Linked DNA regions of Saccharomyces cerevisiae S288C. The protein of the gene in region 2 purifies or fractionates together with the protein of the main gene of each other region. This does not show direct contact. Each region holds a gene or a part of one and is shown on either strand. Other genes may lie near its edges.

What was found. Proteins that work in one complex are often made in the same cells at the same time.
Region 1: the proteins of HST1 (region 2) and RFM1 purify together in Saccharomyces cerevisiae (affinity purification with western blotting; 4 studies listed by BioGRID, with this or other methods). This does not show direct contact.

The regions. Positions count from the first base shown.
Region 1 is NC_001147.6:843,193-847,292, reverse strand, and holds RFM1 (Rfm1p), read left to right. Parts: upstream 1-2,662; coding exon 2,663-3,595; downstream 3,596-4,100. Other genes in the region: PLP2 (Plp2p), read left to right, coding at 164-1,024; FSH3 (putative serine hydrolase), read left to right, coding at 1,501-2,301; uroporphyrinogen-III synthase HEM4, read right to left, coding at 3,649-4,100. UniProt on the Saccharomyces cerevisiae protein: Tethering factor required for histone deacetylase HST1-mediated repression. Probably involved in targeting HST1 to a subset of SUM1-regulated genes.
Region 2 is NC_001147.6:199,868-205,789, forward strand, and holds HST1 (histone deacetylase HST1), read right to left. Parts: upstream 2,013-5,922; coding exon 501-2,012; downstream 1-500. Other genes in the region: kinetochore-associated Ndc80 complex subunit NUF2, read left to right, coding at 1-430; RTG1 (Rtg1p), read right to left, coding at 2,118-2,651; bifunctional DRAP deaminase/tRNA pseudouridine synthase RIB2, read right to left, coding at 2,829-4,604; phosphoinositide 5-phosphatase INP54, read right to left, coding at 4,864-5,922. UniProt on the Saccharomyces cerevisiae protein: NAD-dependent histone deacetylase involved in telomeric silencing.

The sequences.
Region 1 (4,100 bases), 640 kb from region 2:
CCCATTGTATTAATATCGCTGGAAAAAAAATTACTGAAAAAAGAGGAAATCCCGCTAGAGGAAAAAAAGAAAAGGTTATATGATCGACCTGAAGAAATCTGCAGTACAAGATAACGCCTTCGAGTAAACATCACTGAGAAGAAAGGCATATTCAGCAGACATAATGCAGAATGAACCAATGTTTCAGGTCCAGGTGGACGAATCTGAAGACAGTGAATGGAACGATATTTTAAGAGCGAAGGGTGTAATACCAGAACGTGCACCTTCGCCCACTGCAAAGTTAGAAGAAGCATTAGAAGAAGCAATTGCCAAGCAGCATGAAAATAGACTAGAAGATAAAGACTTGTCGGATTTGGAAGAACTAGAAGACGATGAAGATGAAGATTTCTTGGAAGCTTACAAGATCAAAAGATTAAATGAAATCCGCAAATTACAGGAACGTTCCAAATTTGGAGAAGTTTTCCACATTAACAAACCTGAATACAACAAAGAGGTTACTTTGGCCAGTCAGGGAAAGAAATATGAAGGTGCACAAACCAATGACAATGGTGAAGAGGATGACGGTGGTGTCTACGTATTCGTTCATCTCTCGCTTCAAAGTAAACTACAAAGCAGAATTCTGTCTCATCTTTTCCAATCTGCTGCATGCAAATTCAGAGAAATAAAATTTGTAGAAATACCTGCCAATAGAGCAATTGAAAACTATCCCGAATCCAATTGCCCGACATTAATTGTATATTACCGGGGTGAGGTAATCAAAAACATGATAACGCTACTAGAACTGGGTGGTAATAATTCCAAGATGGAAGACTTTGAAGATTTTATGGTAAAAGTTGGCGCTGTTGCAGAAGGAGACAACAGACTGATAATGAACCGAGACGATGAAGAATCCAGGGAAGAGAGAAAATTGCATTACGGTGAAAAAAAATCGATCAGGTCAGGTATTAGAGGAAAATTTAATGTCGGCATAGGTGGAAATGATGATGGCAACATTAATGATGATGATGATGGATTTTTTGACTAAATAGTGCGAATATTCCTTATTTACAGGCTAAGTGGTGTCACTATCCCCATTATTTAATATATACAGATATAAAGAACAGCAAACTTTGTCATGTACTTCTCTGAATGTTTACGCGAGGATTACGGTATGTATGATTGAACATCGCTGCAGCATGGATTTTAGTAAGAGCCGTTGTCATGGCAACCAATTAAAGCTCTTTAATTACCGTCAAGCATACTTAGGATACAGATACAATAAAACCCCTTATTAAGTTCGAGCAGGCACATCTTGACAGAATAAACCTTTTAAATCGTCATATGGAGCATGGTCTGGTATCAAGTTTTACTACTTTTTCGCTTTGTTGTCAGAGGATAGAAATTTACTTTTTCTAGTTGTGCGTATAAAGAACACTATGGATGCAGTAATACAGAAAGTAATCTGTTCTACTTCGGTGCATTTTCAAACTGAATTCTACCACAAACCCCAGAATTATTATTATGAGTGAAAAGAAGAAAGTTCTAATGCTACATGGTTTTGTCCAATCCGATAAGATATTTTCTGCGAAGACTGGAGGATTACGAAAGAATTTGAAGAAGTTAGGTTACGATTTATACTATCCTTGCGCCCCACATTCAATTGATAAAAAAGCGTTATTCCAATCAGAGTCAGAAAAGGGTAGAGATGCTGCGAAGGAATTCAACACCTCAGCGACTAGTGATGAAGTATACGGGTGGTTCTTTAGAAATCCCGAATCTTTCAATTCCTTTCAAATAGATCAAAAGGTGTTTAACTATTTACGTAACTACGTGCTAGAAAATGGACCATTTGATGGTGTCATTGGATTCAGCCAAGGTGCAGGTCTTGGGGGCTACTTAGTCACTGACTTTAACAGAATATTAAATCTTACTGATGAACAACAGCCCGCTTTAAAATTTTTTATTTCATTTAGTGGATTCAAATTAGAAGATCAATCCTACCAGAAAGAATATCATAGGATTATCCAGGTGCCCTCTCTACATGTAAGGGGGGAGTTAGATGAAGTTGTAGCAGAATCTAGAATCATGGCATTGTACGAGTCATGGCCCGATAACAAAAGGACATTGTTGGTTCATCCTGGAGCCCATTTTGTCCCAAACTCGAAACCATTCGTATCCCAAGTTTGCAATTGGATCCAAGGAATTACTAGCAAAGAGGGTCAAGAGCATAATGCCCAACCTGAAGTAGATCGGAAACAATTTGACAAACCTCAATTGGAAGATGATTTGTTAGATATGATCGATTCCTTGGGTAAATTGTAATTCGATAATTGATATTTATATGAGCTACATACAATTTTTATAAAACTATTGAAAATATCGACGAGAAAAAGGAATAGTGTGACTTTTCTGCCGCCTTCTTTGACGTTTGATTTTCTATACCTGATTTATATCTGTTGCTAAAGAAAGAATTTTCGCGGCACACGAATGATATATATTTAACGTAAGGATTTCTTTTATCTGGCGGAAGTATCTCAATATATTAATATTAAACGCTGTTGAACACTATCCTAGGAACACTGACAGCTAGAAGTGATCATAAGACATTGCATATAAAATAACTATTAATTTTAATTAAAAGAATTTAATTAGAACAACAGGAAGGTGTTATAAGAAAGTGCGAATGAGTACAAATACGGAAATCATAAAAAATAGTGATTTGCAAAGTTTAATCAATGATAAGAGGAGGTTAATAAATGAAATAAAAGACTTTAATAAATCCATTAAACCCTTGGAGTTTGAATCGTATCAGGATTATTTCCTGATAAAAACGTTCAAAAAAGGAATATCTGCAAGTGGCCATGTGGATATTGACAGTTTAAGAAATAAAGAATATGGAATATACTACAAGAAAATCAAGAGGAACTCTACACAAGAAGTCGGCGAACCAATCCCTCGCAACACATCCTCCTCCTCCTCTTCTACTAGATCAAACTCATCAGCTGATATCAGCGATACAGAATATTCAGGTGAGAACACTCCTACAACTACTGGTGCTGCCAGTCGAAGAAGACGTACGAGATCTCGAGCTATTCAAAGAGAAAATAGTCTACCAGCATCTTTACCCTCAATTAGTGAAGCGAATGCAAACAATGATGATGTTACTATTTCTGAAATAAATGGAAGTGAATTGCCATTTCCAATTCCAATATCAGAAGTGGAAAATATTGACATTGCTTCAGATATAACTGAAAGGGATGGTATTAGAAGGAGATCATCAAGGATATCAGAAAGAGACAAAAGACGTTCACAGTCTAGACTGGGGTCAGAAGAAGATGAAGAAGGCGACGGACATGACGGAGATGAAGGGGAGACCAAAATCCAAGACCTATATGAGAGTTTGGTACCCAAAATTTTGGAGTCACGTAGAAGGTCTGATTGGATCCTCCCTCCTAAGGCAAGATATACACCAGAAAAGCAAATGAGGACCAAACCGTCATTCAAGAGCATAAAGATTAATGAACTTGTCGGGAATAAAAGAATACGAAGTATATTATCTAGATTTGAAGGTGGTGTAGCGGGTATACGCAAAAGAGATTGGGACTCTACCCAATAGCTTCTTTGAAGAAGTAAATAAATATAAATAGAGAGAAATATGACGTATCAATATTATTTATGGCGCTGGTATAATTCAATAGCATCTAATAGCGACTTGGGGTCCGGTTTTGGACTGACCACATCAGAGGTTACATCATTATCATCCAGATATTTTTTAGTGGTAGGTCCGATGGACGCAACCCGTAGATGGGAACCTGGTAGGCGGTTACTGTCACCCAAATACTGAGTAATTTCTTTCGTTCCCTGGGGACTGAAAACTACCACCCAGTCCGAGAATACTTCATCCTCATCGCATTCTTTCATGGCGTGTATGAATCTTTTAAAACCGTCGCTTAATTCTTCAGTTTTATAAGTAACCACTTCTCTTACTTTTATTCCCTTGCTATGGAGTTTCTTTGGGATGATATCTCTTCTAATTTCACCCACGAGAAATAATAGTTCACTTGGTGGGCATGCCTTAATATCCGTACTCAAGTCATCAATAATTATATCAGCAAGGATTG
Region 2 (5,922 bases):
AGAGTCTAATCGAACTGAAACGGAACTTGTGGGATTAAAGCAAAATTTAATCAACAATAAGCTGAAATTGATGAATGTATTGGAAACAGGTATTATGTATAAATTAGAAATCTTACAAGAACAGTTAGATTTGCAACTCAAGAATTTGGAAAAGCTATCGCAAGATACTAAAGAAGAGTCGCGCCTAAATGATACTAAATTGATGGATCTACAAATCAAATATGAAAATGAAATCAAACCTAAGATTGACAAAACGGACATTTTCATTCAAGAGGAACTGATCAGTGGTAAAATCAATAAATTAAATGATGAAATTAAACAATTACAAAAAGATTTCGAAGTTGAAGTTAAAGAAATTGAGATTGAATATTCTTTATTATCTGGTCATATTAATAAATACATGAATGAAATGCTCGAATATATGCAATAGCAGCGGTATACTTATTTTTACTCCCCCTTCTGTGTTTTCTTCTTTTTTTTTTTTTTTTTTTTTTTGGAATTTACTGTTGTTTCTTTCGTGGCTGTTTCTTAATCTTATACGTACCTTTATCTATTTCCGTACAGTTGTAATCTATCTTCTTTAGATCTTGCCATTTTTTATGCGGTATATCCCAATGGCATTTTTTAGCTACGAGACTGGCCACGTCATCACAGAATCCCAACAGGTTTAAGTCAAACTCTGCATGTGTAACCATATCCCTATTGATCAAAATCTGCGGAACATGTGAAGGTACCATATTGACAATTTCAGACACAGGAGCCACTTTCAAACTTGTTCCTATACAAATCAATAGATCGCATTCCAGTATATCTTTGCGGATGGTCTTATGAAATCGCGATGGCAGGGCCTCGCCAAAAAATGTCATGTCTGGTTTCAAAACACCATACGACTTTAAAATGGGTGAGTTGAAATTTATGTTTGTTTGCACCGTATTATTGCCATTACTCATAGGAAAATATTGTTTTCTTTTTTGATAACAGTAGGGACATAATGGTAGTTCAAGGTTTCTAATATTTTCGAATATTTTCTCACCAGGTATTTGCCAATGGCAAGTCACACAAGATGCAGTGGCGAATGAACCGTGACATTGCACTAATTTATCAGGATCTATCCCTGCATACGATTCTAAGTTATCTATATTCTGTGTGTAGTTTCTTAATAGTTTGCCCTTGTCTTGTAGCATTTTAATGAAGCTGTGCAACGGAGAATACATGTTCTCTGGTGGTAAAACCATATGGGCAATATTGTAAAAAACAGAAGGGTCCTGTAAGAATATATCCAAGTTGAAAACATCCTGAGGGTCTTCCAATCCAAGGTGTCGGATCTTAGAATAAAACCCCTCAGATGATCTAAAATCGGGAATACCTAAAGAAGTGGAAACTCCAGCGCCCGTCAGAACCAAAATTTTTTTGGCGTTACGCAAAGTGGCGGTGAAATGATCAATCGTATTGAAGTTGGGTAATCGAAGCCTTGTACTAAGGACTTTATTTATGGCTTTTTGTAAATCTTTGATTAATTTTACTGCATGCTTTTTCTCTAAGGGATCGGTCAACTCGTCCTCATCTTCAGCTTTTGCATGTATAGACGATAGTTCCGCACTAGAACGTTCTTTATTAGAAGTGATATTAGAGTTTAACGCCATAAATAGTTCTTTATCTTTGACGTCGAATCCCAGCAATTTTATCATGAAATAAATGTAGATCGAGTTGACTTCCACTGGCAAAAAATATTCTAAAAAAGTTTTCAAATCGTTGTCCTTCAAAAACAGTCTTGCATTCATAACATCATCTTTAGTGATTGCAGGAAAGATGAATTTGCCCGTCACCTTATCCTTCCCGAGGATACAAGGGTACGTTAATCTCGTTTTCAGCTTCTTCGTAGCATTATTATCTGACTCTTCTTCTTGAGGTCTTTTCAACATTGTCATGGTCAGCTCTCCAACATGAAAGTATCGCCCTTGACTAACCACCAAAATAAAACTAACTATCCGTTGCATTAGCAATATGTTCATTTAGATTTTTTTTTCTCACAAAAACAACAAAAAAGAAGAGAAGTGTTCGTATCACTACCAACGAGGGTTATCACAACATAGCAATAGTGAGAGTCAGAAGTACTTTTAGCTACCATTACCGTACTCACCATACCCTCCGTACTCGAAGGAGCTCAACCTCTTTGCTGGCGGTCTTACTGAGTCATCATTTGTTGCGGCCAGCGGTCCCACGCCAATCCTGGACAGGGCGACTTCAGCGCTGGTGTTCTCTAAGTTTATATCGTTGACAATGGTGCCTGTCTGCTTGGCCAACTGAGTGGCCTTCACCATCAGTTCCACCTCCTCTCTGTTCTGTGTGTCCACTTGATTTTGTAGATGTGATATGTACTCTACCGCCTGTGTGAGAATTTGGCCCTTGTTGGGCTTTCCGTCCTTGGTCCCTGTACCTTTGGCCTTGCTGGACAACCCAAGCGCACCGGGAGTGGATTCACTTAACGTGTCATTGCTACCAGAATTGCCGTAATAATCTCTAAAGAAGTCTTTGGGAATGATACTCAATAGTTCTTGAATACGGTCGTTGATCTTATCTCTGCGCTTGCGGTCATTCTTGAAATTAGCACCGCAGGACCCAGGATCAGTGCCAGCTGGAATGCTGCTCATGTTTGGTGTTGTGCTTTCTTTTGGTTCACTATCTAGTGTTTTTTGTCTGTGTTGTGGTTGAAGTTAATTCCATTCTTTTTACTCAAAATTTTCGGTGGCGCCTTTTTCCGTTTCCAGTAATGAGTGGTTATTGTAGATATGATGTAAGATTACATGATAATATATATGCTAAATAGTCTAAGCTTTGTCGTCACTATTATCGTGGCCTTTGAAGGCAATGATGGTGCACTCCTCCTCGTAGCCTGGTATTTGTATGTAGTTCACACCGTGCGATTCCAGCTTGTTCAAACTTGTATTGTTTTTAACAAATGTATCGGGCTCCATAACCCCCACGAAGACAGTACCAATGGCACCTTGGGTGGCCAGGATTCTATCGCAGCAAGGCTCATTGCCACTTAGCCTGAAGGAACAGGGTTCCATGGTTGTATAGAGCACTGTTCCCATAGGGACTATAGTGGGACAGTTCGGGTGTAACTGCGAGTACTTTATCAAAGCACACTGTTCTGCATGAGTGTTTCCTGGTAGCTCTCTTGAATATCCTGTGGCAAGTACTTGAGTTCCATGAACAAGAACGGCACCAACACTAAAAGCAGTCTTTGTCGGGCCACACTTACCAGCTTCCTTAACGGCCATTTCCATATATCGGCGATGTGGCTCTAAGGCCCATTCAGGGTATTTTGTTCTATAACTCCAGAGAGGTTTTTGCGTATCCGAATTTCTTTCCAATGACTCGTACCGGAAGGCATGCAGCCAGAGGTCGAGATCATTAGTACCGGGATCTGTGTACATTTCAGCCTCGCATTCTTCGCACTGACGGCCAAGCAAGTATTCACCCTCGCTATGAGGATGAATCCAGCTCTCTGCAGGATTAGTCTTGCCAATAGCGTCTAGTTTCAGAACGATGTCATCATAGTTTTGAAGTCCACCGCGGCCCAAATCTGGACCCCAGATATCTGGGTTCGAGTATATAGGGTCATTTGCTATGGGAAATCCCAAGTACTGCAAATGGACTCTTATTTGGTGAGTTCTACCTGTCAATGGTTTACACTTTACAATACTCGTCTGTCCATCATAGCTAACCCTTTGGAAAACGGTCTTGGCATGTTTAGCGTTTTCATCGCTCATCTCGCAAACAGCGTTTAGTGCAACTTTAGGGTTAACAGATCTGACAGGCTTATCTACCTCTACTATACCTATAGGGAACTCGCCCTTCACGCGGGCTACGTATTCTTTGGTGACTTCCCTCGCTTTCATTTGGTCTCCCATTCTATCTGCACCTAATGGAGTCTTGGCTAAAAACATTAGTCCACTAGTTGGCTTGTCTAGTCTATTACATGGATGTACTGAATAACCTAGCTGTCTTTCTAGCATTTTTGTAATGGTATTGAATCTGTATCTGCCCGTTGGGTGCACTGGAATACTGCTGGGTTTATCAATGACAAGGATATCTTCGTCTTCAAACACAATATCTATTGGTTTAGATGTGACTGGCGGTTCATGTCGATGTACTTTATGTGTGATCAGATCACCGTCACGAATGATGGTATCAAGGTTTGCAGGTTCATCGTTTAAGTATACTTTTCCCTCTGCAATGGTTTTGGAATAATAGCTGGGCTCTCGATCCCTGAATTCGCTCACGAATACATCCACCAACTTACGATCTCTCCACCTCTCCTTACAGAAAGTTTTATAAGTGAAAAAATAAGGCTCAATCTTCCTTAAGGGTCCATCAATTGTCACTTCATAATCAGGGTCTGTCTTTTTAGTTTTGTGCCCATCGGTTTGAATAACTCTCAGTCTGAATCCACTCGCATCTTTGACTTTGGAACTGTTTTCGTTCCTATTATTATTCCTGTTCGCGAATTTTCTTAACTTCACTTCCTTTGCAGACTCAATTTCTTTGTTTAATAAGTTGTTGAAGTCATCGCTGGCTTCATTATTAGAGTCCTCCATTTTGATTGGTTTGTTAATCTAATATTGATAGTTTTTTTTTTAATGTTCTTCTCTCTCTTCTTCCTGTTTTTTCATGGCAATAATTTTGACTAGTTTTTCTTTTTTTTTTTTTTTTTTCATTCTTTTTCATTATTACTTAAGTTCTGTAAAGATATATGGAAGAGAAAATAAAAAGAATAAAACCAAAGATAGTGGTACAACTGACGTTATCTGTTTCAGACATAAATGAAAAACTTCTAGCCTGACAGCCCAGATCACTTTACAGGATTTTTAATAGTAAATATAATAGTAAAGAACCTAATATCCAATAATGTACATTCTTAGTAACTAGCCAACCGCAGTACCCGATGACTGCGTCACCAATTTGTCCAATCAGGCCAGAGCTCCATGATAAAGGATACTTTTCGATATGTAAGGATAACGGCACTGGCGTCCCTGTAGACCTTGGTAATCTTACGGTAAGATTAACGGGTTGATGATCGCTAAATAATAGAGCATTGGACCTAGGGACGGAATGGTAAGTACCTTCTTGTGCGAAAGTTGGCACTGCATAGCTTTTGTAGAGAATCCTATCGCACCACGACGGGATTCTTTTTGTATTATATGTTTCCTTTTCAAACAACTTGAATTTGTATGTCGGTGGAAATGTTATCTTCAGCTCCTGAAAACCTTTGCATAACGGTTCATCCTCTCCTTTACGTAGCAGATTTAGTTCTTCATGATTTTCTAATAGACGCCTTAACGTTGTGGTGGACGAATAATTGGTAGTTGGATCATAAGTACTAGTAACCCTAAAATTCAAATCGCCTAGAAAGAAAAAGTGGTCGCTTTTTGCAACCTCAGAATCACACACTTCACTCATTATTCGTTTGTAATCATCTATTCTTTGATTTCTATTGTTGACACCTTCATTTGCATTTAAATGAGCACAAATATAGCTAAATCTTTCCCAGTTCTCCTCGCCATTGCGTGTCATCTGAAAACTTATCAAAGTTCCACCTTTCAAGTGTGTACCAAACCAACCGCATTTCCCATTCCGTTTCAAAATATCATCTTTTACCTTTAGCGCATTATTATTGTATAATACTATTATGGTAATCGCCCCAAGACTATTCACCCCTAAACATGAATACTGCTCATCCCCTTGTGTAGCTGACACTTTTTCATTCAGACAATTAACCGCAGTAGTTGTAATTCTATCGATTAAATCACGATTAACAGCAGGGAAGGAGCCTTGCCATATGGGGACTACTTCTTGGAACCCCAACACATATAGATCTTGCAATTCCAATTGGGAGATGCCGTCATCGTAGGGGAA